4 linked regions of the Lytechinus pictus genome follow. The main gene of each other region encodes a partner of the protein of the gene in region 2 in a complex. Links are inferred from orthologs where the notes say so. Each region holds a gene or a part of one and is shown on either strand. Other genes may lie near its edges. The genes, in order: DNA-directed RNA polymerases I, II, and III subunit RPABC1; unconventional prefoldin RPB5 interactor-like; ruvB-like 2; dynein axonemal assembly factor 10-like.

Region 1 (7,136 bases), on a different chromosome or scaffold from region 2:
TAGTTAGAAATCCACTGCCAAACGCGGTTCGTGGTGCGGGGTTAGTATACTTAATACGTGTGAGTGGCACAATTCCAGCAGATTTTTTCTTCAGATTTCTAAAACTGGTCAGGACTCAGGCAGGCAATTAAATTATTTAGGATCACTGAGTGGTATGGACCATGGCTGAAAATCTGCTGTTTCAGAGGAATGTTTAAGTTTTTATTATACACAGAATTATATCACCATGATGCCGATGTCATGAAGCCAGACAAATTTTCAGCAGTGATTACCCTGATTCCTGGCCAAAATCACTCACACGTATTGCGAGGTTAGTATTAGTATACTACTAGTACGTATTGCGAGGTTAGTATTAGTATACTAACCACGAACCGCGTTTGGCAGTGGATTTCTAACTAGTGGGTCGCGCGTGCTGGGATCTCACTTCTTGGGTCCACGACTTCTATTGCTTGAATTTTCTGTGCGCGGCGGCATGTAATGAACCCTTGGGTGGGCCAAAATTAGAGTCTGGTGTTTCTTTCTGATTAGAGTGTTGCTGCATATATGTATGCGTAATGCCTTCAACAATGAAGATAAATGCAATCTTTGTAATGACACAGAGACTCAGAGAGCACCGTACCTCAAGTGATGTTCGTGTAGTCTCCACTTCACTACTGGAGTACTGCTACAGCCTACACTACGCTACACACTTACCCGGGTAGGTGTGGCGTACATGTACGGTAGTGTAGCGGTAGTGAAGTGGAGTGGGGCCTACACAAACATCACTTGAGGTAGAGCTCCAGTGTTCTGAGTGGAACTTTTCAGGTGTCTAAACCTACTATCATTTGTTGTTGACCGGGAATTACATGCCACCGCACGTCATCAATCATCACGATAATTAAATTCATACTTTGATTTGATTATTTAAACTATTTCTTTTTTTCTCTCTTCTACACACAGATCTGCACAATTGCTAACTCTGGTGACTTCTGGTCTCTGCTTGCTACCTCAATCTGGGAGATTCCATCTTGTCCTTTTACTATGATTTGGATATAGCCATTTTTTTCTTCACTCTTTCCAGGACCTACGGTTTGCAAGTTGTGGAATGATAATGATACAAAAGAAAAAATTTCTTTATCAATCTTGGAAACAATTTTGAGCACAGTTTTGGAGAGAACTAAGAAATTTTACTCGGACAGGAATACAGCTTGTCAAAAATAATAACACACAATTTAAAACGAAAGAACAATTTTAATGTTACTAGGGCATTTTGCGAGAAATGTTATACTCAATCACACGTCCCAAATCAAGGGAAAGTCCTTTGATTAAACATGTAGTTGAATTGCGATTGCAACTCGACCTTATTACGCTTAAATTTGAATTTAAGACTTACGCTTGATTTGCAATTGAACATAAGTTTCTTGCAGTGCCCCATAATTATGTTTTGTTATCAGATATTTAACGTGCTGATTTTTCTCGAAAGGTATAATATATTTGTCCTTTTAAACGGTATTTGAATATGGGTACGCCTTTTATTTGTTTTCCACAATATTTATTGCATGTATGAACAGAAGTGAAATATTTATTGTGAAGCACTGTGAATGTTGTGTGATGGTTCATCATCAGACTGAAAGCCTGGTGGATGTGAGGAAGTGGCCTGGATGAAAGAAAAGTGAACATGTGTCCAATTACTGATTTGCATATTCTAAGACAATTTTGTTTCTGGATAAATTTTGCTATGCATTCCCTACATTAAGAGTAAAGGAGAAGTCCACGCAATCAAAAATTCATTTGAATTTAAAGAAAAATAACAAGATATTGCAGGAAATTTCATAAAAACTTTGATTCAAATTTATATAATTACTATTTTAACAGTTCCGTAAATATAACCTATTGTGATCAGATGAAGAGTTTCCTATCGTCAAATCTGCAAAGAATAAAAAACAAAATGCCACAAAAAATATAGAAACGAATGTGATGTGAGTGACAACTCTAATTTGCATATCATTGTTTTGTGTATATGACTGTTTTGAGTAAAAACAACAAGGGAAATCACTCTATTCAAATAATTTTTAGTTGATGTGGACTTGACTTTTAACTCTACCCCTCCCATCCCAAATAAGAGTAGAAATAATCTAATCAAGAACTTGAAAATCAAAAGCAGCAATTAAGAAGCAAGATTTGATAAATACAGGTCTGAATAGAATTTCACAAGAAAATAAAAAGAGAAAAAAAAGATGGGTAGGGACGGGGAAGGAATAAAAAAAAAATACCCAGAAAAAAAAATCCGAGTTTCGAACCAGGGTCCTCGCACATGACAAAACAATGGCCAACGCATTTGGCCACAGACCATCGCCCTAACAGGAAGGCATTTTTAAGATATATGAAAGAAAGTCCGCTCGCCGCCGTTTCCTAATAATGCTTCGGCAATTCAACTGCAATTTCAGTCATTTCGCGATGGATATTGCCGTGTTTTTTTTGTGATTCCTGACTTTGCTACTTAATAAAATTTCATAATTTTTGTTCAGTCATAAAGAAGAATGTCTATGCTTTATATTGACTATAACATCAATGTGACGCAAGTGTGATTTCTACGTGAAAATATGCTTTGTTTATTCACCTATATTTCTTGGAAAAAAAAAAATTCTAAGCTAAATATCGGTCACCAAAATACGTTAAATGTGCACTTTTTTTCACTGTTCAGTAAATTCAAACTTTTATCTATATAACAAGACCAATCTTAAGAGGAATAAACAATTCTAAGAGCAAAAAACGCTGATTGGAAAGATCGTCTCCAATGGGCTGCTGTCAGCTCAGCTGCTCACTGCTCATTGTGTGACGTCACTCAGCTGGAGCTCGCAAGAGGACCGGTGGAAGGCAGAAATATGGCATGAAAATAAATCATTTTTGAGAGCTGATTTCTGCAATCTCTGATCACTATTTTGAAAAGTGAAGTTATATATCTGATTAGTAATACTTCCCCTTTACAATGATGACCACATAAAGTCATTATAAAATACTTTTGATTCTTTGGATGTATACTTTAATCACTAGCATTTCTGAAGATCGATGTATACAAAATAACAATTCTTAAAATTTATCGCATTAAAATACAAATCAGACAAGTTGATTCGTGAAAGTTTGAATAATATCGGACAAAAAATAAGAAAGTTATGAATTTTTAAAAGTTGTAATAAAAATGGAGACTTCAAATTGGCCGCACTTGTGATGCCATATTGAAGACAAGGACTACTCTTTCACTTACTTCAATATTTAATTTTTTTTTTTTTAATTTTACTTCAAAGTTTATTTTCTTCCATGAGGACATAAAACGATATGATACGTGGGCTATATTTTGATTACTGCCACAGGGGAATAAGTAATTAGGAGAAAACAAAAAACCCTGATAATTAAGTACATGGCCTATGGGAAAGATATCCTTGCCCCTTGTCCATTGGCGGCGGAAGCCAAAAAAATTAGGGGGGGGCGACCCAAATTTTTTGATAAGCAAAAAAAAAAAAGTTATATATCAACCAAAATATTAGGGGGACCAACATAATTTTTTGACAAGCAAAAAAAAAAGGTTATCAACAAAAATTTTAGGGGGGATCGCCCCCCCCCACCTCAAATTTAGGGGGACCTGTCTCCCCCGTCCCCCCCCCCCCCCCCCCCGCTTCCGCCGCCTATGCCCTTGTCATGGGTTACTTACCCAGTTGCCAATTTAAAAATTACATATTCTAAGGGATCTTATTTTTAAAGCAGCTATAACTTAATTTCTTATTGCTTGTCCGATTTCCTTCAAACCTTCATCATTCTGTTTTTCTTAGTTTTCTCTTTGTCAACACAATATTTTATGACCAAGCTTGGATTACCCTTTAAGAGCTTGAAGCAAGTTGAACAATATCATTCCCAGACAGATAGTCGGGCATTATAGATTACGTAGAGGAAGGGGTGGGGTTTCAGGGGAGGGGCGCTTCCAGACCTACAGAAGGAAAGTGATCAGTGGTGCAATTACAGCACTTTAGAATGATAAGGGTTGATCTTTGTTTTATAATTAGACTTCCAGTTCTGATCGAATCGATTTTTCTTTTTTGATACATTTGATACATTTAAGATACGGTAACTTTTGCAGTGATACCTGCCGATCTCCGAACAGCGGAGGAACTGAAACGAGAGAGGGTACATAACTTTTCTTTCTGAATTTATATGTAACCTTACTTTCAGATATGTTTTTTTGTAATGAACCAGACAACGATTTTATCGTTTTTTCAAGCATAAACTCAGTTATTTATGCTTTCTAAATGTTTTCAATTCGTTCTTTTGAGAAATGATACGAGTTTATCATATATTTTCGTATGGATATATCACCATTTTACAACTGTAAGCTCATTTTTTTAATCATTGATTTGTATTTCTGTATTTCTGATGAGGATGTTGAAAAATAAGCAAAAGAACAAAAATTCCCGAATTTTCGATTTCTACGAAACCAAATATAACACGACATTGAGAGATCTCTACGACTACGACTACGTTGCATTGTCCTTCAATTTTTTCATTGTGGAATTTTTATCTCAATGATACCATAGCATGCAAAAGCGTGTGGAAATCGTAACATAATTTTGGAAATTCTTTAGAATCGGGGTTTTTTAGTGAACGTTTTGCAAATAACCTATCCTTTTGATCATGAATGATGAAGCCGAAACATACAGACTTTGGAGAGTTCGTAAAACAATTATGCAGGTAAGTACACGTGCATCAATCATTAGATGATATTCTTGAAATTATTTGTTCAGTCCCACGCGTTGGATTTGAGGTTGGCTAAACTAGGGGACAAATAATTATAACGGCTCTACGAGTCTAATCTAGCGCAGTAGCGGTTTTAGCTGACGTTAGGTTCATGTTATTAGCTCTGACAGTTTTCTTCTTTATTCCTGTTTAGAAAAGGGTCGTGAGAGACGGGGGTAGAAGGAGAGAACTTTTCGTTTTTTGAGGTTCCAGTCTGTGCCCAGATGTCAGGAAACTGCCACTCGTTAGACCTTCATCCATATAATCGTCATAAGTGCATAATTTCTGTTTTCACAATTCATTTGGAGAAATATTTAGACCATAAATCACCCTAGTCCCGTAAGTATGGTCAAATACACGGTAAGCTCCTGGGCTCTTACTGCGCGGGCGGGAGTTCCATGGGTTACATGGGCATGGGAATAAACCACTCGCACGTATTGCGAGGTTAGTATATGCCACTTGTTCACTGCAACCATCCTGCCTGTGGGTACCTGAGGCGATATTCGTGCAGGCTCCACTCCACTTTACTACCGCTACACTACGCTCCACCTACCCGAACATCGGGACAGTGAACCAGATCGGATATTCCGATCGAGTCATAAAAGGTGCACTCACACAACATGCGAGGTTAGTTATAGTATACTAACCTCGCACAACGCATGTGATTTCATAGTGCATTTTGACGTTTTCATTCATCACACGAATGTGAGGGACTATGAAACGCCAAATCTTTCAATATTTTTCCACTATGTTAATCTTGATCGTATGATTTAGGCCCTAGTTCATTTTAAAAATGAATTAGAAATTATTGATAAAGGTGTTTTTATCGCTTACCTCCAAATCTCAACCAGGATACTTCGCTCGGTCCGTCCTTAGTCATCCTTCATACTGCGGTGGAAATTACGCAAACAAAAATCGAAATGCGAATTTTTCCTATCGAACATTCTCGATTCAAGTCGTCGGCGCATAATAGGAAATTGTACCAAAAATCAACAGGTTGCATCTCATGTATATACTTAAAGAAGGTCCTATTTGGTCAAAGTCGTGAGAATTGAAATATTGTATAATTCGAACAATAAAAGATAAATAGTGAGTGACATTATTGACTCTCTCATTTAGATATCAATGAATTGTGCATGTAACTGTTTTGTGATAAATAAGCGAAACTTTAATATGTCATAACTTTCTTATTTTACATCCGATTTTGATGAAGTTTTCAGCGTTAGTCTTGTTTCATAATTCTCTATTTATTCAAACATTTTTTTTCTGGGGTGCACTTGACCTTTAAGAGATTTTCCACTGAAAATACTACATGGAACTTGGAAATACAAATCATAATTTGGTTGAACAAAATGTTTTCTGTTAAAGTATAAAACAGAAGCTAGAGGAACATTTCCTTCACGTATTTTTATATCCAAAATATGTTGCCTTAGTATGGAATAATCACAATGACATAAAATGAAAATGGGTAAAGTACCTTCCTAATGATCATTGAGATTTCGCCTATGGAATCGTTGTTTATTAATTTTCAAAGCTTTAAATAGATGAAAATATACATACATATATATATATATGAACAAAATGATAAAGTCCCGATTGTTTCGCATTACGTGTGTTAGATTGCGGGCGTTTGTGTGTGTGTGTGTGTGTAGGAAGCAAGATTTTCGTGTTAATGTTTGCACAAAAAAGGAGAGGGAAAGGGAAAGGAAAAGGGGAGGGGGAAAGGTAGAGGAGAGAGAGGGAAAAGGAGACCATAAAATAGAAAGAAAACAAAGGAAAGGAAGAGGGAAAAGAAAAGGGAAAGGGAGGGGAAAAGAAAAATGGAAAGAGCGAGAAAACAGTAGGGGAGGGAGAAAGGAAAGAAAAGAAGGGAAAGGAAAAGCGAGAAAGGGAATGGAGGGGGCGGGAAAGGGAGAGAGAGAGAGAATGATGAAGGGGATAGGAAAATGTCAAGTTTGAAGATCTGAATATTAACACTAAAACAAAATTAGACTTCCATGTTTTATTTATAAAAATACCATCTTTTTCATGATTATAAAGGTTCAACGTCCCTGTTCTAGGTCTAACTTCAACATAAATCTACTGGCGCTTTGCGCTTGAATTCTGGATGTCATTCCTTTTTTAAAAGTATAGGTAATCTGTCGGACTTTTCAAATCCCAAATTTAAATCTTAAGCGCAAATGCCCTCGCATTATTTTTCATTTAGATACAGTCCTGTCATCAATATCAAAAATTATAAGTGCGAGCTTCGCGCTGGCATCATTTTTGTAAGTGACAGTTATGATGTTCATATTTTAAAAATGCTTAGAATGTCCATTTGTTGAGGTTTAAATGTCCAAAAGTTCAGCGCTCGCATAATTTGTAAGGTAAAT
Region 2 (7,578 bases):
ATCTAAAATGCAGCTAGCAGTACAAGCTGCAGATCGTAAACAAACGTCTTGTGAATAATATTAAAAGTTGATACCCACGATCATACTGCGGCATCTACGTGAAGATCACGAGAAAATGCTTTTATTTTATTAAAAAACACACCAAAGAGAAGTCAAGAAACGATCCATATGGTTCGGTAAGTGTCATACATGTAGCACAATTAGAAACATTATTTAAATGGAATGGCATAGTTATTTTAGTAAAAAGTGTGTGAAAGATTCGCGTGCACCATGTGCATATGAATCCTTCGCACGCGAGATGCATTGATCCCATGAGTGGGCACAGACTGGAACCTCAAAAAAACGAAAAGTTCTCTCCTTCTACCCCCGTTTCGATCGGCCATTTTTGTTAAAAATCGTAACAAAATGGCCGATCGAGACTGGGGTAGAGGAGAGAACTTTTCGTTTTTTTGAGGTTCCAGTCTGTGCCCAGATGTCAGGAAACTGCCACTCGTTAGACCTTCATCCATATAATCGTGGTAATTGTATACTTTCTGTTTTCACAATTCATTTGGAGAAATATTTAGACCATAAATCACCCTAGTCCGGTGACAATGGCCAAATACACGGTAAGCCCCTGGGCTCCCGCCCACTGCGCGGGCGGGAGCTCCCTAGATGCTAGATTAAAAAGTGCTAAAATGTCCTGCTTCAACCACTGAACTAGAAATACGTGGAAGTCGTGTACACCCAAGCAAAACATCGCCGGCGGCGAACTCGATAAGCCACGTGACCGCCGCCAAACGCCGTAGAAGGCAAGATGCAATATGTTTTCTCTATGTATTTCTAGTTCAGTGGTTGAAGCGGGACATTTTAGCACTTTTTAATCTAGCACCGCTCATGATTTTGCCGCCCTCTATACGCGTCACGTAACTAGGTTGCAATTACAAAGGATCAAAGATGGCGATGTCAACAAGTGTAAGTAAACTCTCTTCTACTTTTATTACTTCATATAATTTATTCGTCATTTTTTAACCATTACTACGCATTTTTTGCCAAACGTTGCCAACCAATATTGTGACCCATGTACAGCAGTCGTGACCTCAGATTCTAAACATAACTAGCAGTTTGGCGCATTTTTATAGTTGCCTTTTCCCTCGGTAGGTAGGACTCTATGCATCACAATGCCAGGCGTTAGGGGAGTGACCATACGTACAGTATATACTTTCACTCCCCAGACGCCTCCAGGCTACGTTTCTGGGGATTTCCTTAACAATTCTGACATTTCACCATAATCCCCATGTCGAGATCACTAATGCTATGGAGATCCTCCCATTGGCAATGCGACCAAGATCTATGATGTCACAGATGAACAACTCTCCCCAGTTTTGGACACTGAAAATATACCCCAAAACATCTCTTTTTGCTCATTCTAATCATATGACAAACGATTCATCAATGATGTAATGTTGTGAAACCTCTGTACTTGTCCTCTCATAAAGAGAACACCTCACCTTGTGATAGACTCTATAAAAGTGAGAATATAAGTGAAATAAGTACTAAAGTAATGAGGGAGTTGTACGTGTGTGACATCACAGATCTTGGTCGCATAATCGCATTGCCAATTGGAGGATCTACATGGCATTAGTGATCTCGACATTCAAATGCTCATAACTTTCTTATTATTCATTCAATCTTCCTCAAACTTTCAACAATATGTTTCTTTGATTTTTCTCTTTGATATGGATTCAGCTGGTTTCAAGGGTTTCATTCTCCTTTAAAGATTGTAATATCCATGTGGATACTGTCAAAGCAGAGCTGCAGAGGCAAGTTCTTTCTCGGATCTGCTCCAGTCTCTTTTTGTGTACACAACTGGTTGATTTTAGTACACTTATTCATGGTCATACCCTTGACTTGATTTATCGACAGGTAGATGAAATTATAATCGGCAAACCTTGGACACACTTTTGTGCGATCATATTCCTGTTATGTGTACTCTTTAATTCCTACAAACCTCCACTTCTAAAGTAATTTCATTCCGTAGGCTTGGAGTAATAGATATTTTTACGAAGAAGCTTGATATAGCCGATAATAATCTTTGCAAACATACAGCTTGTGATCTTTAAGAATTCGCCTCATTATATGATACATTACACTAAATAGTATCTTAGATAAACATGCATGCAGAACATGTAATATAGTTGTTCTGTGACCCCAATTGCCTTTATTCACTGATAATGTAAGGATCGCAAAAATACAGAAAAGGAATGTTGAAAAGCATCGGTTAAAACTTAAACTCTAGGATGGAGAGCGATTGGAATGGGTATAAGTCACTTCACAAACACATGTTGCATACATGTATGTTACATGAGCTTGAAGAATCCATCACAATGGTTTAGTTATGGAAAACAAAGGTGATCATAAGCAGTTTTGAGTTGTGAAGTCTCTGTTGAATATTGCAAATAAGCAATCTGTTACATCATGCATCACTAGTAACAAACAGTGCTTTGTGAATGATTTAGGCAATTTTTTTCATAAGAAAGTCATGCAGATCCACGAAAACCTGACTTTATGAAATTTACTCTTCTTTCAGAGCAAGGAAAAAAAAGGATTTCCAACCAAGTTAAAAAACCTATAACCAAGTTCAGTAAAAAGTCTTGTGCATCAGACCCAATGCCCACAAAGATTCTTCTACAGCGTATTGACACACTGATTCCCACCATCACATTTCTAATTAATCTTGAATTGTCATCTGGTCATTTCCCTTCACTCTGGAAAACTGCTCTACAGTGCGTCCCAAAAAAAACTATACACTTTTGAAATGGCTGCCAAATAAAAAATGTAGCACTTTGGGGGAAAAGACTTACATATATGGAAAGCCAATAAAGTCAACTTTCAAATGACACCAAAAAGTTGGAAAACTATTCATGCTTGAGCGAGCACTGCCCACTGAAACAAAGGGTATGAAAATTAGGGTGGGCTGGAATTAGCCTTCCGATTTATGTAAGTTTTTGAGAGGCAAATCCTTTCGAACTTGCAAAGTTAAGGGCGATGTGATAAATTAATGATCAACCATGACCAGTTTTGGTTGCTTAAGCAAATTTTAAGTAAATTATTAAATTGAACTTTAATGCATGAGTGAACACAAGTTACAACTTTTGGGGAGCATTTAAACTTTATCATTTGGATCTCTTTTTGGGCAGCATTTCAAATTTATCATGTGGATCTCAGCAATGTGTTCATGGGCGTCGGGAGAATAGGGGGTGAGATAGGACTTAAGTCAGAGAAGTAGGTTGATGGAATAAGGGTCAACAGAACATTCAGCCCCCGCCCCTCCCTCTCTCCCGCCCTCCCTCCTGTTGAGAGACTGATGGCTATTGTCATGTACGCGTGAAGTCCAGAGCAGAATGTTGATTTAATGATTAATTCTGAATTGGGACATCAACTTTTTCCTATCAATCATTTAATCAACAATTTATCAGTAAATCAACTTATTCAATGTGCAATGTGATCAATCAAACATTCAGTTTTTTTTCAATTAATTATTTCATTAATCATCATAATCATTAAATTTCTTGGTAATCATTGAAAAAAAAACTGACCATCAGCCACCGGTCACTTGGCAGTTAAGTTTTGAATAGGCTACAAATGATGCAGGAAGTGAGACAGAGAGAGGGGGGCTGGGAAATGGAGGTGGAGAGGGGAGGGTACATATGACTTTTAATTTGTAAAAGGAAAAAAAAGAAGAGGAATGCCCTTTTAACCAAGTCTTAGCATATCTCGCCCTCTTGCTTGTAACGGGTACCATCACATTACTCTGACTCTCACGAACACACTGCTGAGGTTCACAAGATAAATATGCAACAATAAAATTACAATTCCTGTTCACTCATGCATTAAATTTCAATTTAGTAACTCATGAAATTTGCCTAAGAAACCAAAACTTATCTCACTCATTAATTTAGCTTAACAAGTTCCAAAGGACTAACCACTCAAAAAAACTGTAAGGCTAATTCCTGCCCATCCTACTTTAGCTGAGCATATTAGTCTCTCAGGGGGAGATAAGCGGGGGGGGGGGGGGGGGGGTGAGATTGAGAGAGGGGTTGCTAAATGTTCTGTTGACCTTTATCCCACCAACGTACTTCACCTACCTAAGTCATATTACCCCCTCTTCTCCTGACTGTCGTGAACACATTGTTGAGACCCACATGATAAGACAAAATGCTGCACCCAATTCATGATCACTCATGCATTAAATTTCGATTTAATAACGCATTAAATTTTCACAAACAACAAACTGATCACAACTGATCTTTAATTCACCAAATAACCATCAACTTTGCAAGTACCAAACAAAAAAAACTGAAAGAAATTGGAAGGCTAATTCCAGCCCACCCTAATTTTCATACCCTTTGTTTCAGTGGGCAGTGCTCGCTCAAGCATGAATAGTTTTCCAACTTTTTGGTGTCATTTGAAAGTTGACTTTATAGGCTTTCCATATCTATAAGTCTTTTCCCCCAAAGTGGTACATTTTTTTATTTGGCAGCCATTTCAAAAGTGTATAGTTTTTTTTGGGACGCACTGTAGTTCAACTATTATTGAATAAACCTGGTTTGGAAGAAAAAAATTGTAATCATCAGCCTGTTAGTAATCTGAGGTATGTATCAAAGCTTGTAGAAGGTGCTGTATATACGCAAATAATGAATCATCTCGACTGCAACTACCTTGTTCCAAGTAATAAGTCAGTCTACAGGCAGTATCACAGTACTGAACGACACTGTTAAGAATTATGACTCAAGAGTGATATTCTCATGGATATGGATGATAAGAAAGAAAGTCACCTTATTACTTTTATTAGACCTTAGTAGTGCATTTGATGCTATTGATCATACTAACCTATTGCATGCACTAAAGAAACACTTTGGCATAAAGGTTTGGTAATCATTTAACTGACAGATGTCAACAAATCAAAATTTATGAAACTGTTTCTGAAATTTTCTCAGTACCTTTCGGAGTCCCTCAAGGGTATTCACTCTATACACAAGTCAACTAATTACAAATATCCATAGTAAATTTAGTAAGTATCTTGCCACTGCTATGCAGATGACACACAGGTTTATTTGTCTTTCACACCAGACTTACTTGCTCAGCAGCAGAGCATCTCTCTCCTGGAAGAATGTGTTGATTACATACGTGAATGGATGCTGCACAATAAACTTATGCTATTAAAAAAAATGACAGTAATACAGAATTGCTAGTTATCAGTACATCTAAACAGCTAGATTTTGACAGGATATCAGTTGGCAGTTAAGTCATAGAACCAAATTCTAATGTAAGAAATCTTGGGAGTATATTTTCACTCACAATTGACTATGGAAAAAAAATATTACAAATGTGTGTAAATCGTCATTTCGTATGATATACAAAATTGTACAAAATTACTTTAATTATGAAAGTGTGAAAACAATATTGTCCATGCATGCATTATTAGTAAGCTAGATTATTGTAACAGTTTGCTGTCTGGGCTCCCATCGTCTCACATTGGGCATCTTCAGCGAGTAAAGAACACATGTGCACGACTGATTTGTTGTCAACTTAGATTTTCCAGGATCATCCCTATCGTAAAAGATTTGCACTGGCTTCCAGTTCGCCAACGAATATCTTTCAAGATTTTGTTAATTGTATACAAGGAACTAATTAGCCAAGCCCCCAACTATATTTCTGAGCTTTTACGACGCAAAGTTCACAGGTCTATACACACTCATAACCTGTGCAGTTCTCACGATAATTTGCTCCTTCTCATCCCCACTCGTAACACAAAGATAACTGTGGGAGATCGTGCATTCGTCTGGGATTTGAACCCACGACCCTCTGTTTCAAAGTCCGAAGACTAATCCACTGGGCCACAACGCTCCACGCTTATTTTTTGTCTTTTGATTACACTAGAATTTAATGGTTGTAATCTTCAATTTCATTCTCTGTAATATTACTTAACACTTTGTATGAAAAATTGACAAAACTTTGCTTGTTTAACTTTTCCAAATGGCTGCTTAAAATCGATTGTCTGGGTATAGATAGTATTTCTTTATTCTTCCTCAGTAACAACTTGCAAATACGATTGTACACTACATTTTGTTTTGCCAGAACTTTAGAGAGTAGAAAAATTTGGTGACCAGGAGAAGCACAGCTAGGTCTCTCAGAAGAATACATTCTAGAGTATGAGATTAGAAATTTATTATTTATTTGGTTGTTATCATGCAGGTTGTATAATGGCGAGAGGAGGTGATCTTGCTCATATTGGTCGCCTGAAGGAAGAAGAAGAGAAAGCCTTGTTTGAGACTAAAGACAAATTACAGCAATGGCAAAAGTTTGATGAAGACTATTCAGCTCTCAAGGCCAGACTGACAACGTTACCTGAAAAAGTTTCACATGAAGTTATGGTAAGAAATCAAATATACACTAGTAAATACATTTTTTTATAATCAATCTTTGTTTGTTTTTCATTTTTTCTGTTTTCCTGATAGTATTCATTCTTTGAAAGTTAATATGAAGTTTGTAATAAGTTTGAGGCCACAAAATTTATCCTGTAACTAATTTTGTGACACAGATCTATGCTGGCGTGGCTTATGTGTTGAATCCATTCCCACCTCACCACCAAATAAATTTGAGATTTGAACTTTTGTTGACAAGTGAATAAAAATTGTTTTATTTTCTAGCCTCAGGTGCAAATTCATTCAAGTATTATTGTTTCCTCCTCCTGACTTTCTCTTTATCATCTCTCTGTTTTTTTTTTCTTGTCCATATATCTGTTTTTTTTACTTCCCCCTTACACTTCCATCTCTTTCTGTCTTTTACCGTGTTGTCTTTCTACAGGTTCCCTTTGGCAAGTTAGCCTTCATGCCTGGTCAGTTGATCCATACCAATGAGATACTCGTTCTCCTTGGTGATAACTGGTTTGCAGAGCGTTCAGCCACACAAGCCTGTCAGATCATCGATAGGAGGAAATCATGTGAGTAGATAAGCGGGTCTTGTCCAAAGGTCTGATTTAGAGTGAAGGTTTGAGAGACTTCTCTGTGACCATCCACATTTCAAAGGTGGAGGGGAGTTCCCCTGCTCTCCAATAACAATGTGAATTCAGGTTAATGATATGCATTAACCTTTTTTCCATTTCATAGCCTTATTTCATATAAGAGTTTTGCTGGTAGTAATATTACTGGTAGTAAAGAGTCACAGGAGATGAAATAGTGAGATGACTTCTTTAGCACAGTGATAAACGACTAGAAATTTGTTTTTGCATACTGGAAAATATATATATTTGGGGGGGGGGGGCTATTTTTCACAACCAATTGCTCAAATCTGCAACATTGAATAAGTTTTAATAACGTTGCAGTGAATGGGGAATTTCTGGGGCTTTTTCAGGGCTCTTGAGCATTTTGGGAGTGAAATCGCTCCCAACCACACATATTGTCCCTGCTGAACCAACCCTAGTAGCAGAAAAGTAAGACGAGACAATGAAAAAAAAAGAAATGAAAGTATTACTCTCTTTTATCAGATGTACAGAAAATGATGAATGATCTGAAGAAGCAACAGTATCTATTAGAG
Region 3 (7,863 bases), on a different chromosome or scaffold from region 2:
GTAATTTCTGTTGCTATTCTGTTTATTTTGAGGGAAAATACGTTTTCCGTGATTTTCCGTTTGAAATGCCACTTTCCGTTTCAAAAGGCCCTTTCCGTAAATTCCGTCCGTTTTCCGCGATCGCGGAAAATCACTGTCCCTACAGTGTATACTATCATAATCATTAATAATGGAAAGCACATTGTCATATGTCCTCATCAAATATTTTGTGTGTGTGTGAATTTAGCCATTTGTGCGCTGGAGGTGACATATGGATAAAATTTGTAATTCTTTGTATATGATATCACAATTGTATCTCATTTAAACACACACTACAAGCAAACAAATTATTCAACATTTGTCGCTTCCCATAATTTCAGCAGAATTAAACTATGACTTTAATAGTTGAACTAGAGCCCATTTCATGAAGAGTTATAACTTCATTGTGATTGGCCCCTAGACCCCTGGACTTAAAAATACAGGAATGGTTATTTTCTACTCACCCATGGCTATAGCTGTTTTACCAGTACCTGGTTGACCAGCAATAAGAACAGCTCGTCCTGCAATTTTACCCTCCTGTAATAAGGGGATAAATAAATACATGTAATTAAAGTTAATCCACCCATGAAAGGTCCTTCATGGAAAATACAATGTAGATCCTAAAGAAACTTTTAAAATCATATCATTTCAAATTTCACCCCAAAAGTGGGGTTTTGCTCCCTGGGTAGTATATTTATATATCATATTATGTAGCCTTTCCTTTTTGGACTCCATAACACAAAAGTTTGCAATCAATAAAAATTGCTGAATGCCAATAATCAATCCTGGGCTCTGTAACACGAAGGTTAGCAATTACCATTGCACAAACACTGACCTGGAACCAATCAAAGTGGTTCATTCATACAGCAGAATCTGCACAAGTCAACCTTACAATGTAAGTGGAAAAATCGCTTAACTTGAAGCATTAATTCCCACCAGAACATGCTAAATATCTTTTTATGAATTTTTCCCAATTTGAACAGATTTCTCTGGTCCCCAGACTTGGGCGGAGTCACCTGTTTTTGCAGTTCATTGCAACCCCTTATGTAAAAGGGCCCAGTTGTCTTTCATACCTTGATCATCTCCAGGATGACTCCTGCGGCTCTCCTGGCCGCCGTCTGGCCCACCATACCCTGGGACACATTCCTTGCTTCCAAGGCATCGTCTAGACCAAGACCCCTGATGTGAGAATGCGCTCCTATCCGCTCGATCCTTGTCACCTCACGAACCTCCTGAACCTTCTGTGCTGTTGACTGCAGATGAAGATAATAATGATAAATAATATTGAAGAAAAGAAATAAATATCTTCTCGTCTTCTCTCATCCACTGCATGAATACAAAGTTACTAGTCCAGCAGTGTATCCACTCAAGATTTTTACATCCGTTTTCGGACTATTACTTTTCTATTCTTTTATTCGAGCAAAATAACAAAGAACACAAGACCTACAATCAACATTGCAGAGACCGCCGTTTTCTGTCACAAACGGTTCATACTTTTCACTTATGGATGAATGCTCCACACTTTTTTTTATTTTTTTTTGATCAGTTTTAATGGCAAACAGTCAAACAACAATATTTTTCAATAGAAAAAACGTTATTGATCAGGTTCACCTTTTCCCCATCCCTTGAGCTCTCTCTGTTTTCCCATTTAATTTTAATGTTTCTATTTGTTGATTTTTAAAATATATTTTTCTTTAAGAATCTACTCGTCTTTTCTTTTCTGTTTCTTTATCATGTCTTCATGATCTCTTTCCTTTTTGTTTCCTCTCTTCTCTCTCTTTTAAAATCATCTTTTTTTTTCATCATCATCTGCTATCATCTTCAAAGGGCTCTGCAGCGCTACCTTGAAAATAAAATTAGAATTGGACGCACGTTATGAGTAAGCTGAGGGGTATTTTCAATTTCAACTTGATTTTGCAAGAGCTTTTCATGCTTTTGGAGGCTGTCAACAGTAGAGGCGCACGGCCAATATTGGAGACTGTCTCCAATGTGGGAGATTATCTCCAATATCAGAGACTTTTGTAAAGAATTTGGGTATCCAATTTCAGAGTCTCCAGTTTTGGAGACCAATTTCCTTTGTTTACATTTGCTGCAAAAGGATTACCTTGGGCTTGGCGGCAAATAAAAATGTGATAAGCAGATTTCTCATGAAAAATTGCCCCTTTTCACCGTCTACTTTTGTTTTGATAAGGATTTTTGTTGTCAATCACACACAAAACAAATGGGCTTCTGACCTCAAGGCTCAGTGAGACAAAATTTCGGGTGGAAAAAAATCATGTTTTTTTGGTGTTGTTTCTTTTGTCCTTTTGTAAAGCAAGTCTCCAATGTGGGAGATTGTCTCCCCTGTTATTGGAGAGAGTCTCCCATTATTGGCCGTGCGCCTCTACTGGTCAAGCGAAAAGTATTTGACATGTATATGAAGAGGGAGTTTAATATTATTCCATTCAGGGACAGACTGTTGGGCAAACAAAGTTAAAAGGGCTGGGTTTGAAAAAGCCTTTTTAAAAAAAAACACATAATACATAACATATTTTTTCCCTTCTGACAATATTCTGAGACTGAGTTTTAAATTCAAATTGTTTTATCTTTGGCTTTGTTGGTCATGTTACTTCAATACTTGTTACTTTGTTAGTTATTTCTCTCCTCTTTTTTTTACTGGATTAACATGACTCATGAGCCTGAGTTCCTTGCATTATTTTTTCTTGACTTGTCTTGGTAACTTTTGGCTCCGAGCCGGCTCTGTCGCTCAGCTCAGCCGCTTTCCTTCGCCTCGGCTTCAGCGGAGCGGTGACCTTCTATCGAATCCTCCTGTATACTCATCTTGGAAGAGATTGGTCAATTACAAAGTGAACCTGCTGACCAAACACAACACATGTCAAGGAATCCTTTCCAAGCCATCTCTTAAGTACTGGCAAGACTGTATACCTCCTTCTGCCAAACTCCTGTACCCGAAAAGTGTACTCTCTCCTGTCTTACGAAGAGCATTTGTGGTGAGAGCTCAACTCCTTACAGCCACCTACTTAACACAGTGTCGTCTCTTCACGCTGAAGAAATCAACCAGCCGCACTTGCCCTCTATGCAAATCTACCGACGAGACTGTGGAACATTTTACTGGGCAGTGTCCCAAGCTAGACCATCTCCGTCAAGTGTTTATTGGCAAAGTCAAGGACTGCCTTGTGGACTTCCCAACATGTGTCGATCTATATGTCAATGCCAACCCACTGGACTTTACTCAGGCCACCCTTATACCATTTCACTCTTGTTTGCCCAAGGAACTACACAATAGTTTACTCCTATTATCTCTCTTTTTCCTCCACAAAATTGATGTATTCCGTACTGACATGGTTCAAACCTCCTAAACCAGAATGACAGCGTATATGGAACATATCTGTTTACCTTGGACCCTAGGAATCTCCAAATAGTGGAGGGATCAGCTAAGAGTAAGAGAGAGAGTCGTCCCGAGTTAGGCCGCCGCGCCGGCTGATCCGTTGTCATGCACAACATACAAAATTTAAACACTGTGCTCTGAAATCGAGCAAAAGTCAATCAATTAAAGTAAGAATTCAAATACTACTAATTCAACTGTCACTAGTATATAATCCTCCTCAGTATCCCTACGAACAAATAAAATTCAACAAATCAATTAGGCTACAGAGTCATTTATTTCATCAAGTTACGAGTCAAATTTACAAAACCCACGCGAACTTACCGCTGCCATTTTGATCTGTGATGACAACGCTAGCTGGCGCTTTACCTCCGAAAAAACGTGCGAAGGGGAATTCCCTGCCGCTCGACAGACTATTTCTTTGTGCTTTTGGCTTGCTCGAATTTTATCCAGGTGATAGTAAATTTTGAAAGCAAGAGCTGAGCCTGATCTGTGAATTTAGGAATGCCGCTAGGTAGCTGCCAAAGTATCAAGATCGATTAGGAATGTGAGCTGAGCTAGGTAGGACCGCTGGGGATAGTCGCACAGGCCATGTGGATTATCATTTTAATGCCTCGATCACTGGCGTGCGCGATTTAGTTTGGGCGCATGTGAAGCGGGTTATAACACATTTTCTTGATACTCGTATCCTAATTGCACATAAGCTTCATCGCATGTTCCAACACATGGGTTGTACGAGTATCTTCAACTTGAGCGAGCTGAGCGTGAGTGATCTTGAGTTGGCATAATTATGCAGGGTGACCATATTTCACAAAATGAAATACGGGACAATCGACAAAACATAACAACTTAAGTCTAAACAAGAAGGATAAACAGTGTTAGACTTGTGAAAAATATATTAAATAATTGGAAGGGCGGGTGAACGAAAGAATGAAGAAGAGAAAGAAAAGATGACAGAAAAGAAATGAATTGAGAAGAAAGACTGAAACTAAGACAAAGTGAAGGGAAAAAATAAAAGAAAGTTAGAAAAAAAGAATAAAAATTAAAAGAGAAAAATGGTATCCATCATTCGATCTGTGAATTGAATATAGAAAGGAAGGGAAGATGAATAAATGTGTGAAAGATAAAATGAAGGAGAGAAAGAAAGTAGGAAAAAAAGGAGGAGGAAAGAAAGAATGAAGGAAATAATTTTTGTTCCTTCATTGAAAGAAAGGAACATACGAAGAAAAACGGGAAAGGAGGAAGGAAGGAAGGGAAAGAAAGAATAAGGGAAAAGAATTATAAGGGATAATAAAATAAAGAATTAAAGAAAGGAGGAAAGAATGAAGGGAGGAGAGAATGAAATAAAAAGAAAATAATGGAAGGAGAAAGAACGAAAAGAAAAAGGAGAGGAAGGAAGCAAAGAAAAGTTTAAGGAAAGCAAGAATGAAGGAAATTTAATAAAGAAGGCAGGTAAGAGAAAGAAGGAAAGAAAGCAAAATGAACACGGAGAGAAAGGATCAGGAAAGAAAGATAGGAAATAAAGAAAGGCGGAACAAAAAAGGCAAGGAGGAATAGAAGGATGAAGAAAGAAGGATAGAAAAGAAAGAAAGTTCAAATTTAAAGCAAACAAAAACTATCCAATCTAACAAAAATCATAATGATATGGTATAATCGTGATATAGTCCCCAAATCCAAAAATGGGGATTATTAGATTCGCACAGCTCGAGAACTTGCGAAATGATAACACACACAAATGAAACACACTTACACTTGGGTTCTCTCCCTATTATATACTCGTGATACAGTCCCCACTCTACGGGAAATCAAGTTTGATTTTCACGGCGGTGGGGACAGTTTCAACAGTATAGTATACTCGTGATGCAGTCCCTGTGCTATGGGATACACAGTTCACTTTGCACGCAGTGGGGACAGTTCCAACAGTATAGCTATACTCGTGATACAATCCCCACGTTATGGGATACACATTTCATTTGGCACGCAGTGGGGATAGCTCCAACAGTATATTATCCAAACAAAGTGTGTTTCATTTGTGTGTGTTATCATTTTGCAAGTTCTCGAGCTGTGCGAGAGTTGGGGACTGTGTTCTGGAGAAAGGAAGTGACTTTCATGCGTTCTGGTAGGTGTGATTCTAATAATCCCCATTTTTGGATTTGGGGACTATATCATTATGCCAATGATATTTGGTGTTTTAAATATATTTTAAAACTTTTTTCAAAATGAAATGTTTTAGAAATGAATAATCTGAGAATCCATAATATAATTACCGGTAATGGCAATGCAGTTTCGCACTGGCAGATTACCAGCATGCATACCTCACTACCAGTAACGTTAATTGTATGCAAATGTTGTGGCAAGGCTCTCAGTGACATATTCCAAGGTCAATGTGACCACCGGCACTGCTTTTCCAAATATTACATTCAGGAACGGTTGTATTTAGCTCCGATCTCGACGTTATTGTTCAACTTCTCAGTCAGACTTCGCTTGGCTTGGCTTCGCCATAATTTTGATATGAACTGAAGTTGGCGACCAAAAGATTTGCCTGGCCTGCGTGTGGCATGCGGCAGCTCACCAGCCCGTTTGTGTGCCGCCACATGTGCGCATGATTTTGGTTGCCAACTTCAGTCCAAATCAAAATTACAGCAAAGCCAAGTGAAGCAATATCTGACTGAGAATTTGAACGACGTCGAGATGCATGGAACCCGAAATACAGCCGGTCACGATATTTGGAAAAGTGGTGGGCATACTGACCTTGAAACGTGATTGAGGGACTTACTATGACATTTGCAAGCAAGTTCTGTGGTGAGGTATTCTGGTAATCGGCTGGTGTGAAACTGCATTAGTGCTAATGGGAGTTACAAAAACTTAAAAAGGATAGTCTGCCCATATGGCATTTATAATAAGTACCTTGGGTTGATACGAGTCGAAGGGCAGGGACAGGTTCATGAGTTTGCTAGGATTATGAACAAGGCAGAGGGATTCTTGTCAACACACCCTCCGGCCTGCCCTATTAAAAGTGAAAGAAAAGGAAACAAAATGCTAGGAAACAGGGAAAAGAAGAGGGGAAGAAAAAATAGCTGTGCTGAAATGAAAGCCCTGCTTCCGCTCCCTAGGATATAATCAGTGGGATTAAAAAAAATTAACAAAAATTGCATTGTTACCCTAATGCAGTTCAATTTTCATCTGTATCACTTCATAGGTTTGAGAAGATGTCCAGCCAGGATCACCACCCAATTCACTCCGGAGATAGAGGGTCTCGTCCCCATCAAGGGGGGCGTGGCAAGAATCATCGTCAAAAAAAGAGGGGTCACATGAAAGGTCAAGGGAGAACAAACGAGGGGCAGAGCGAGATTGACGCATTATTCAACAAGGCGTTCACTTTTCAGAAGACTGATGATGCCTTGTGGAGATTACCATCCAAGGATCAATTATTCTGCAGTGCTCCAGAATCTAATTCACAAACACAGGTAAATTTTGATCTCTCTTATGGCGTGTTGCAAGAAACCTGCCAGCAATTACAAGTAAATTTTTGGTCCCTAAATCAATCATGTCATGCAGTTAATTGCAAATTAGTGACTGATTGCTAATTTGCTCCTTGAAACAAGAAGTTTAATCTGATTTGCTACAGCTAATGGTGATCTATCAATTGTAAAATTGCAACAGAATATTTGCAATTGATCGCAAATATTTTTCTTGCAACGCCCCCTATGAAATGACTTCAAAGTCCAATGGGCATCAGCTTTCATAGGTCATGCATTGCTTATTTGCTGACCCCAGACTTTGTGAAAAATATTGAAAATAGCTGTAACAGAGATATCTTTTGGGAAAAGCTAACTTGGTGAAGGTAATTGATCAGTTACGTAATTAATTACATTTTTTAATTGTAATTGTATTTGAAATCTGTAGGGAAAGTAATTGTCATTGACCTCAATTACTGTCAATAACTTTTAATTACATTCAGTTACTTAACAATAAACTTAATTATGATTTAATTCAATGACCCTTTTCATGTCAACTGCTTCAGCTTCAAAGAGTGTAATAGGCAGAATCTGTGCTCTTTAACATAAACCTTCATCTTGTCAGATTCTCTGTAACCTAGAATTGTTGAAATAGGTGGTGCTAGATTGCTAGTACATACAGAATACAAAGTGATTTCATTTATGACTTATAGAAAGTAATTGAAATTGTAACTGTATTTGACAAAAGTAATTGGTCATTGCAATAAAAAAAAAAGTGATTTAATTGAAAAATAATTGTAATTGAACATTTCTTCAATTAAGTAATTGTATTTAAAGAAAGAAATTGAGCCCAACCCTGGCAGCAAGAAAATTTTCGGCCAAACCTGCTTAATCTCAGGCTACTGTCAGGCCAAAGAAAATGAGATAATGAGTTTACAATAGGGCAGTTTTAAAATGGTATTACAGAATGTATTCTGGGCCTTATTCTCTTTCTACTTTTGG
Region 4 (7,873 bases), on a different chromosome or scaffold from region 2:
TCTGAAGAGGGATCTTATTTCTGTTTGTTTTGTTCTGATATTTGTGCCCATTTGATATGTAGAAATAATAAATTCAAGTATTCTTATTTCTTATTTTCACATCCACATTTTCTCCCTTTTAGGGTGAAGACTTGCATCAGTTTATCAGAGCGTTTTCACCAGGACTTCAAGAGTATATTGAGGCTGTTTCATTCTATCTCTTCATCAAAAATGGAAGACTTCTATCACTTGATGAAATTGCTACAAGACTCACATTTTCTCTGAAAGATGACATCAAGCAGGTTGAAAATGAGGTTAGTCGAAGCTTGGTTTTGTTCTTGTTACTGGTTCATTTTTTTCATTCTTTAAAAGTCTATGATAATCACAACTAGAATAAAAACTAGAAATTAAATAAAATTAGTGGGTATGATAGTCTGAACGTATAAAGGAATTGGTGATACCCATCTGATATAGGTGTAATACAATTTTTTTTCTCTCTTGAAGTAGACTCTATACCCATCCAGGGTATAAAGTAACCTTCAATCATAATGTGACGACATCCAGTGGTCTAAAGTTCTGTAAAAATGGTGTTCAGAGTTACTTATACAATTCTATGACCCAGCATGAGCTAAAATACTTCTTTCATGTTATTCATGTATGATTTGTATATTTTGATTTTTAAATGATTGAATAAAATTAATTGCATTGAATTGAATTGAAATTGTCTTTTTGTTGATATTATGGGTCTGTCTTACAAAAAATTTGCTATTTGAAGTCAAACTCAAATCAAGATTGATTTCAAAATGTATATTTTGGGAAATTGGGAAAAAAGGTTTTGTAAAATGAAATTCTCTGTAGTTTGCATATAATGTCAATGTACTGATATTGTTAATTGTACAGGAAGCAGAGAAAGCTGATGGAGTAACGGGTCAACCAGAAGCCAGTGATCCCACAGAGATTCAAGATCCATTAATGGAATCAAAATGTGGTAGTGACCAAAGGACATTGTCTCTGAAACTTCCACCTCTTGAATACATGCTTGGACTGGCAGATTTCACAGGGGAACTCATGCGCATGTGTATAAACATTATCGGTAGCGGAGACCTAGAGAGACCCTTTCAGTTAGTTGATTTCATGAGGAACATCAACAGAGGATTCCAGCAACTTGGTAATGTAGCAGGGCGCGAGATGGTGCGCAAGTCATCGGTCATGAGACAGAGCTTGAAGAAAATGGAGGATGCCTGCTATGTAATCAAAGTCAGGGGATCTGAGATTCCCAAGCACATGCTGAAGGATGTTGCTTTCAGCACAGACTTTTCTACAAGAGATGATGACTATGGTCAAGAAATGATGGACTGATTTAGTTTGTCTGGTTCAAGTTTGAGAATCTTAATAATAAAGGCTTACTTCAAAGGGATCCCATATTCCAAAACAAACACTGAAGGACGCTGATTTAGCACAGGCTTCTTACAAGAAATGATGACTGTGTTCAAGATATAGTTTTAGATATTTTCATTTGTGTCATTGATGATATCAAGTTTCAGTAACTCCTTAGTAAACTTATAAAACATATTAACATTTATGATTACTGATAATTTAATGTCATAATTGATTATACATGGTGGTCATTGCATTCAAAATTTGTTCTAAAATCATATGCTAAGCTTTGTGATCGATCTCTTATAATACAAGGCACATGTCTAAGTATATATATGAACAGTGAAAACTGTGAGATGATCTGTGATCATGAAAACTAAACACACGGGTGAATCATAAACTTTTATACTGAGTTGCCAATGATTAATATCTTTTCTTGGATTTCAACATCATACCACATTCACACCGATTAATCCGACTCCAGACAAACCAAATCTATAACCTTACTTCCAGTGACAACCATCGTTTGGATTGTTTATTTGATCCAATACCATAAATATACATAGCAGCCTTTCCAAAGGAAAAAAAAAAGAAAAATGGGTTGTATTTATGTATGTTGTATCATTTTCACAAAGAATTAGAGCCAGGGAAAGTAAGATTCATGAAACTTCTTATTATGTGGATGGACAATATACATTTTTGTTTCAAGATAAGCACCTGAATTATTATTCAACTCACCATGCCAGCTGAATGCTTAAACAAAATTAAAACAAACAAAAAAACGAATCATGATTTCAAGGCGTGGAGGTGGGCTCATCTGACTAAAACTTACTTTTACATTAAATTTTTAATGATCATGTATCATACTCAAAGTCAAAAATTGACATTTGACAACACTGGGTATTTAGTATCTTGTCATCATGCATATGAATTCTGATTATCTTTAATAACTGTTTCCAATTTACATTTATTTTTCAAGTCTTGCCTTTGTTATTTGAAGATGTCAATATCTACAAATTATTGAACTTTTTCAGAATATTGAATGAAGGCTTATTAAAAGAAAGTTTTCATAGTTCATTCTGGCTGTAATGGTCATTCCTCTTTTGCATCTTAAATTGTGAATAGTTCCTGTGTTATGATGAAATGGCAATGTAAATTGTCTTTTTAAACTGTGTTGCTCAAAGTTTTAAATGCAGTTTTAATTAAAATGTAAGTTCTTATAAGGAATCAGTTCATGTTGTAAGAAAGATTTTTTTTTCAGAAATGGGCAAGAAAATTAAAATCAGAGAAATTTGAGTTACCGTTATCTATTTATTCATTATAGTTATGGGTGTGTCAGTGTGTAAGAAGATTAATTTGCCAAATACTTCTGGAACTTGTAGGGCTGGAGGGAATGACGACTTGTTTACAAGCATGAGTACAGATTTAGACTCGATGGATGATTAAAGTTTCAAAATCATTACAAATAATTTCACAAGAATATTGCATTTAAAAACACTGAAAGGAAAATGGCAATGTAAAACGACCACTAACACACGAAAAATTGAAAAAGGGAGGTCATCTTATTTGAGGGAAAATGATTGGAAGGGTATTCTGAGGGACATGGATAGTAATGTTTTCATGCTTTCCTGGCAAAAACAACCCGGATTACGCTAAACCTCACACAAAGTATGAAAATCGTGAGCAAAAATTCTGATGACCTTTGATTTGATATATTTTTTAAAGCAAATTCGTTATTAGGCTTGACTTATCAGAAAATGACTGCCAAGTAAAAAAGCATCCTGTTAAAAAAAAAAAAAGTTATATATCTGACATTTGGCTTAATTATTTCTAAAATGTGGAAATATTATCAATGAAATGTACAGGGGTAGAAAGCTCATTTTCTAACTTCTATGAAAATGTCATAGGTCTCGCTTCAGTGGTTTTGAATACATATGCTGTTACATAATAGTGGTGCATTTCAGTCCATTCCAAGTTCGCAGCACTGCTGTGTTTCTGCATTTTCTATAGCATGTTTTCCCATCCAGGATCTGAGCAGGGACATTCCCCTGATCTATCCAGGCTCATCAAATCAAAAACTTTGGCAAGTTCAGAAGGGTGAGAAAGATTTTTAAAATGATATTTGTTATGATTTATAGGGAATTAATGCACCAATTTGAAAGAAAATATGGATAAGTGATGAGTACATTAAGATGACCAATGAAGGGCAAACCACAAGTGTATTGCACTTTGCGAAAGTGAACATTTAATTTTTTTCATTAATAAAGGTACAGTGAATTATTAACTTGACCTCAAAAAATTATTTTAAAAAAGTAATGAAAACAAGAATGCAAAATTGTTGGAATTCGGCATGAAACAGACATGACCTGTTCTCTCCATCATTGTGCATCTCCCATTATCAGACTTGAAATAAATAGTCAAGTACTGTTGTTGCCCTTCTGAATATGCTCAAGGTTGTTTATGAGCATGGTTTGATCAAGTAAATTTATTTATGAAGACTGGAGCTTTTAATTGCTAATAAAATGAAATTACAAAGAATTCATTTCATTACTGAAAATCACATGTGGACGTTGAGATGTGTAGCCCCGAGATATACGGAATGAAACCATTAAGGTTTTCTTTGTAAAATGATGATAAACGTTTTTTTTTTATTCCATACATCATCAAAATATAGTGCAACAGAAATTGTGTAAATCGATAGATATACTGAAAGATATGATTTGACAAATTCTATGCATAAATTAGAGATTGTATTTATCAAAATATTGAAAAGGGTCTGAGAACCATGAGTACGAGTCCAGTGGCAGAATCTTTATTGATTCAATTATTTTACTATTTCAAAATGAATGGTTTTGTGGTGTTTTACAATTATCATTGAATGAGCCGTCTCACTTGTTCTGCAATGTAATTTCAACTTCTATGATTAATTACTGTATGTAAGATTACAATTTTCAAATTTTGAGGCACGAGTCTACCCACTTGATGCCACTACGTCATTACAAAAGAAGTTATGACTGGTTCGGAGGTGTCATAAATATTTAGTCAGGTTCTTGTCCCCGATCTTGGCAAAAAGGGCTTCATGAAATGGTTATAGAGGACAAGTAGCTCACCATCTCCGATTTAGTCAAGAAGTTAGACTTATGATGAAACAGGCCCTTGAATAATAAATGGAAACTAGTAAAAGTGAAATTTTCTTCGGCTTTTCTTCATTTATTTTGCTGAGATAACATATTTCATTTTTTTTATGTAAGTTTTTAAAGGTTGACCATGGGGGAGGGGAAGGAAAGGGAATCCACTTCTTTAAACACATTTTGTACAAAAAGCATTAAAAAAAGTGGGATTTGGTGTTGCACCCACCGGTTCCACCACTGATGTGCACACCCCCCCCCCCCCCCCCGCCTTCTGCCCTCTTTGGGTCTGCACAAAGGTAAAGTTACACGTCGTTGAAGTCTTGCTTGGTAAATATGTTTTCCCTTTTTAATTTGTCTTGCTTTTACCCATATATATAATACACGAGCGCCGCCGTATCGATATCGCGAAGAACTTCCTCAATCTCGACACTGTCTTAGCTTAGCCTTAGCGCTTAGAAACGGGACGCCGATTGCAAATTCCATCTATTCGGATACTATTAACAGTATATTTTGATTCCGACGTAATTCTCACTTGTGTGAAATTCAGTATGGACAAACCACAGATCATAATTCATGCTACAAAATCCTTGAACATAACGCTATACGACGTGAAATGGATCCCCAGAAGTGCCCGGTTCGTTGTGCTTGGTTGCCACCCGAGACAGACGGGGGCTTTGCAAGTGTTCGAGATGGATCAAGGAGAACCTAAATTAATACACGAGGTAGTATCAGATTCGTTGTTCCGGCGGGGAGGTGGCACTGCCGTGGTATTGATTTTACAAGATGGACACCAGTCACACCACACTTGTCCATGTCAATGCATTTACTGACCTGGGCCGTATTCTGAAAATTGCCTAGGCCCTAGTTAAAGGTCAATCAAGTCCACCCTAGGGCCTAGCCAGGCGGCTTCTAGAGAGTAAAAATCATTTACTAACGTAAGGTCAATCTCATGAAGCCAGGCCTTCTATCCCATAGACCCACACAATGGAAGCCAAAACCTGAAACTTTCACCCCCGAAATTTCTACTTTCTTTCTAAAAGATCTAGCCCTAAATCATGTACATGGGATAAAACTTCATTTCCGACATTTCTACGCTCTCGTTATTTTTCAACAAGAATACATCAAAAAAATGAGAGAAATATTGTGTAAAGACGGAAGAGACTCGTCCAATGTTTACGCCGCCATCTTGTTTCCTATTGTTCTTCGCCAACGTTACAGACGTGTGCGTCGGGTAACGTTGGGGAAGAACAATAGAAAACAAGATGGCGGCGTAAACATTGGGCGAGTCTCTTCCGTCTTTACACAATATTTCTCTCATTTTTTTGATGTATTCTTGTTCAAAAATAACAACGAGAGCGTAGAAATGTCGGAAATGAAGTTTTATTCCATGTACATGATTTAGGGCTAGATCTTTTAGAAAGAAAGTAGAAATTTCGGGGGCGAAAGTTTCAGGTTTTTTGGTGGTACACGCAAAAGTATATGACGGAAGCCCTGGCTTCATATGAGAGTGACCTTACGTTAGAAAATGATTTTTACTCTCTAGAAGCCGCCTGGCTAGTCCACCCCAGGAAACATGTCATGGGAAAATGTAACCCAGGGAGCTCCGGCCCGCACAGCGGGCCGGAGCCCAGGGGCTTACCGTGTATTTGACCATACTCACGGGACTAGCGTGATTTATGGTCTAAATATTTCTCCAAATGAATTGTGAAAACAGAAATTATGCACTTACCACGATTATATGGATGAAGGTCTAACGAGTGGCAGTTTCCTGACATCGAGGCACAGACTGGAACTTCAAAAAAACGAAAAGTTCTCTCCTTCTACCCCCGTCTCGATTGGCCATTTGTGTTATGAATCGTAACAAAATGGCCGATCGAGACTGGGGTAGAAGGAGAGAACTTTTCGTTTTTTTGAAGTTCCAGTCTGAGCCTCGTCAGGAAACTGCCACTCGTTAGACCTTCATCCATATAATCGTGGTAAGTGCATAATTTCTGTTTTCACAATTCATTTGGAAAAATATTTAGACCATAAATCACGCTAGTCCCGTGAGTATGGTCAAATACACGGTAAGCTCCTGGGCTGCGGGCGGGAGTTCCTGGGTTAGGGAAAATGCTGACTTGAATATAGACAGCTGGCATCCGTCTGTTTCGAGGAGTTTTTTAACTTTTTTTTATTTTTTAAATTTCTCCTCGTAGTCCTACACAGACGGCTTGCTATCCTGCAGCCACCATTAGGGGACTTACAATGCAAAATCCCCCTGTCGGGGCTCTTCAATTTTTGTCTTTAATGAATCAAAATCTTGAAAATTAATGCGACCGAAATGTAAATTAATATTTCCTCTTGGTATTAATTGCCAAAAACAGGGAAAAAATCAAGTTAAAAGGAACAGAAACAGTGACTTACCTCGGCTGTCGCGCAAAATCACTTCCCTGTTTTATCCAAACTTAATACATACACGCATGGCCATTCAGTCCCCTGTACAGATCGCGCAAAAACTTTGGTCTCTGTATTTGGTGAGTGAAGCCAACAGAGTTCAGCTGAACAACCAACATAACATAACAGAGACCGAAGCTTTTGGTCTAACTTGAATAAAGAGAAAAATCAAACTAGCATAGTGCTGAAAATTTCATCAAAATCGGATGTAAAATAAGATAGTTTAGTTATGACATTTTATTAAAGTTTCGCTTATTTTTCACAAAACAGTGATATGCACAACTAGGTGAGTCAGTCGATGTCAATCACTATTTCTTTTGTTTTTTATTGTTTGAAAAGAATTATACAATATTTCGTTTTTTACAGATTTGACAATAAGGACCAACTTGACTAGCTGAACCATATAGTGTTAACAGTGCTAATTCCCCATGTTCAGGGAGGAATTAATCGTTGTATCACTTGACAATGAGGAGAAAATTGGAATATTTCATATAATAAAATACAAAAGAAATAGTGAGTGGATGACGTCGTAGTCTCCTCGTTTGCATACCCATCAGGATGTGCATATAATTGTTTTGTGAAATTAAGCGAAACTTTAAAATGTCATAACTTATTTTACATCCGATTTTTGATGAAATTTTCAGTGTTATGCTTGTTGGATTTTTCTCTTTTTATTCAAATCAACTTTTTGTTGGGGTGGACTTCACTTGTCCTTTAAGAGAAATATTCTTGTAATATCTTTGGAGTTACAATAAAATCTGTATTCTAAATTTTTTTGTATCTTTTCTTGTAACTTTCACTGAGCGCATACTTATATGTCAGAGCTATAATGATGCGTAAGTTAAAAACGGTGCCTAAATAATGTATGTGCACAAGATAACATATCAAGATAAAAGGTTTTCTGAAAATTCTCTTATCTTTGCGTTCTGGTAACTTCCTTGCAAAAATACAAG

The links.
Region 1: unconventional prefoldin RPB5 interactor-like (region 2) and DNA-directed RNA polymerases I, II, and III subunit RPABC1 share a complex: the UniProt entries of both Homo sapiens proteins name them as parts of the PAQosome complex. The link is inferred for Lytechinus pictus from reciprocal best matches to the Homo sapiens genes URI1 and POLR2E.
Region 3: unconventional prefoldin RPB5 interactor-like (region 2) and ruvB-like 2 share a complex: the UniProt entries of both Homo sapiens proteins name them as parts of the PAQosome complex. The link is inferred for Lytechinus pictus from reciprocal best matches to the Homo sapiens genes URI1 and RUVBL2.
Region 4: unconventional prefoldin RPB5 interactor-like (region 2) and dynein axonemal assembly factor 10-like share a complex: the UniProt entries of both Homo sapiens proteins name them as parts of the PAQosome complex. The link is inferred for Lytechinus pictus from reciprocal best matches to the Homo sapiens genes URI1 and DNAAF10.

The regions. Positions count from the first base shown.
Region 1 is NC_087255.1:18,058,872-18,066,007, reverse strand, and holds the start of DNA-directed RNA polymerases I, II, and III subunit RPABC1, read left to right. Parts: upstream 1-4,133; 5' UTR 4,134-4,662; coding exon 4,663-4,719; intron 4,720-7,136. UniProt on the Homo sapiens protein: DNA-dependent RNA polymerase catalyzes the transcription of DNA into RNA using the four ribonucleoside triphosphates as substrates.
Region 2 is NC_087246.1:39,025,694-39,033,271, forward strand, and holds the start of unconventional prefoldin RPB5 interactor-like, read left to right. Parts: upstream 1-4,563; 5' UTR 4,564-6,194; coding exon 6,195-6,416; intron 6,417-6,849; coding exon 6,850-6,985; intron 6,986-7,528; coding exon 7,529-7,578. UniProt on the Homo sapiens protein: Involved in gene transcription regulation. Acts as a transcriptional repressor in concert with the corepressor UXT to regulate androgen receptor (AR) transcription.
Region 3 is NC_087253.1:12,090,863-12,098,725, reverse strand, and holds the start of ruvB-like 2, read right to left. Parts: upstream 3,019-7,863; 5' UTR 3,004-3,018; coding exon 2,944-3,003; intron 1,272-2,943; coding exon 1,092-1,271; intron 556-1,091; coding exon 483-555; intron 1-482. Other genes in the region: uncharacterized protein LOC129267757, read left to right, coding at 6,613-6,870. UniProt on the Homo sapiens protein: Possesses single-stranded DNA-stimulated ATPase and ATP-dependent DNA helicase (5' to 3') activity; hexamerization is thought to be critical for ATP hydrolysis and adjacent subunits in the ring-like structure contribute to the ATPase activity.
Region 4 is NC_087251.1:10,512,851-10,520,723, forward strand, and holds the start of dynein axonemal assembly factor 10-like, read left to right. Parts: upstream 1-4,857; 5' UTR 4,858-5,035; coding exon 5,036-5,209; intron 5,210-7,873. Other genes in the region: translin-associated protein X-like, read left to right, coding at 123-293, 880-1,338. UniProt on the Homo sapiens protein: Key assembly factor specifically required for the stability of axonemal dynein heavy chains in cytoplasm.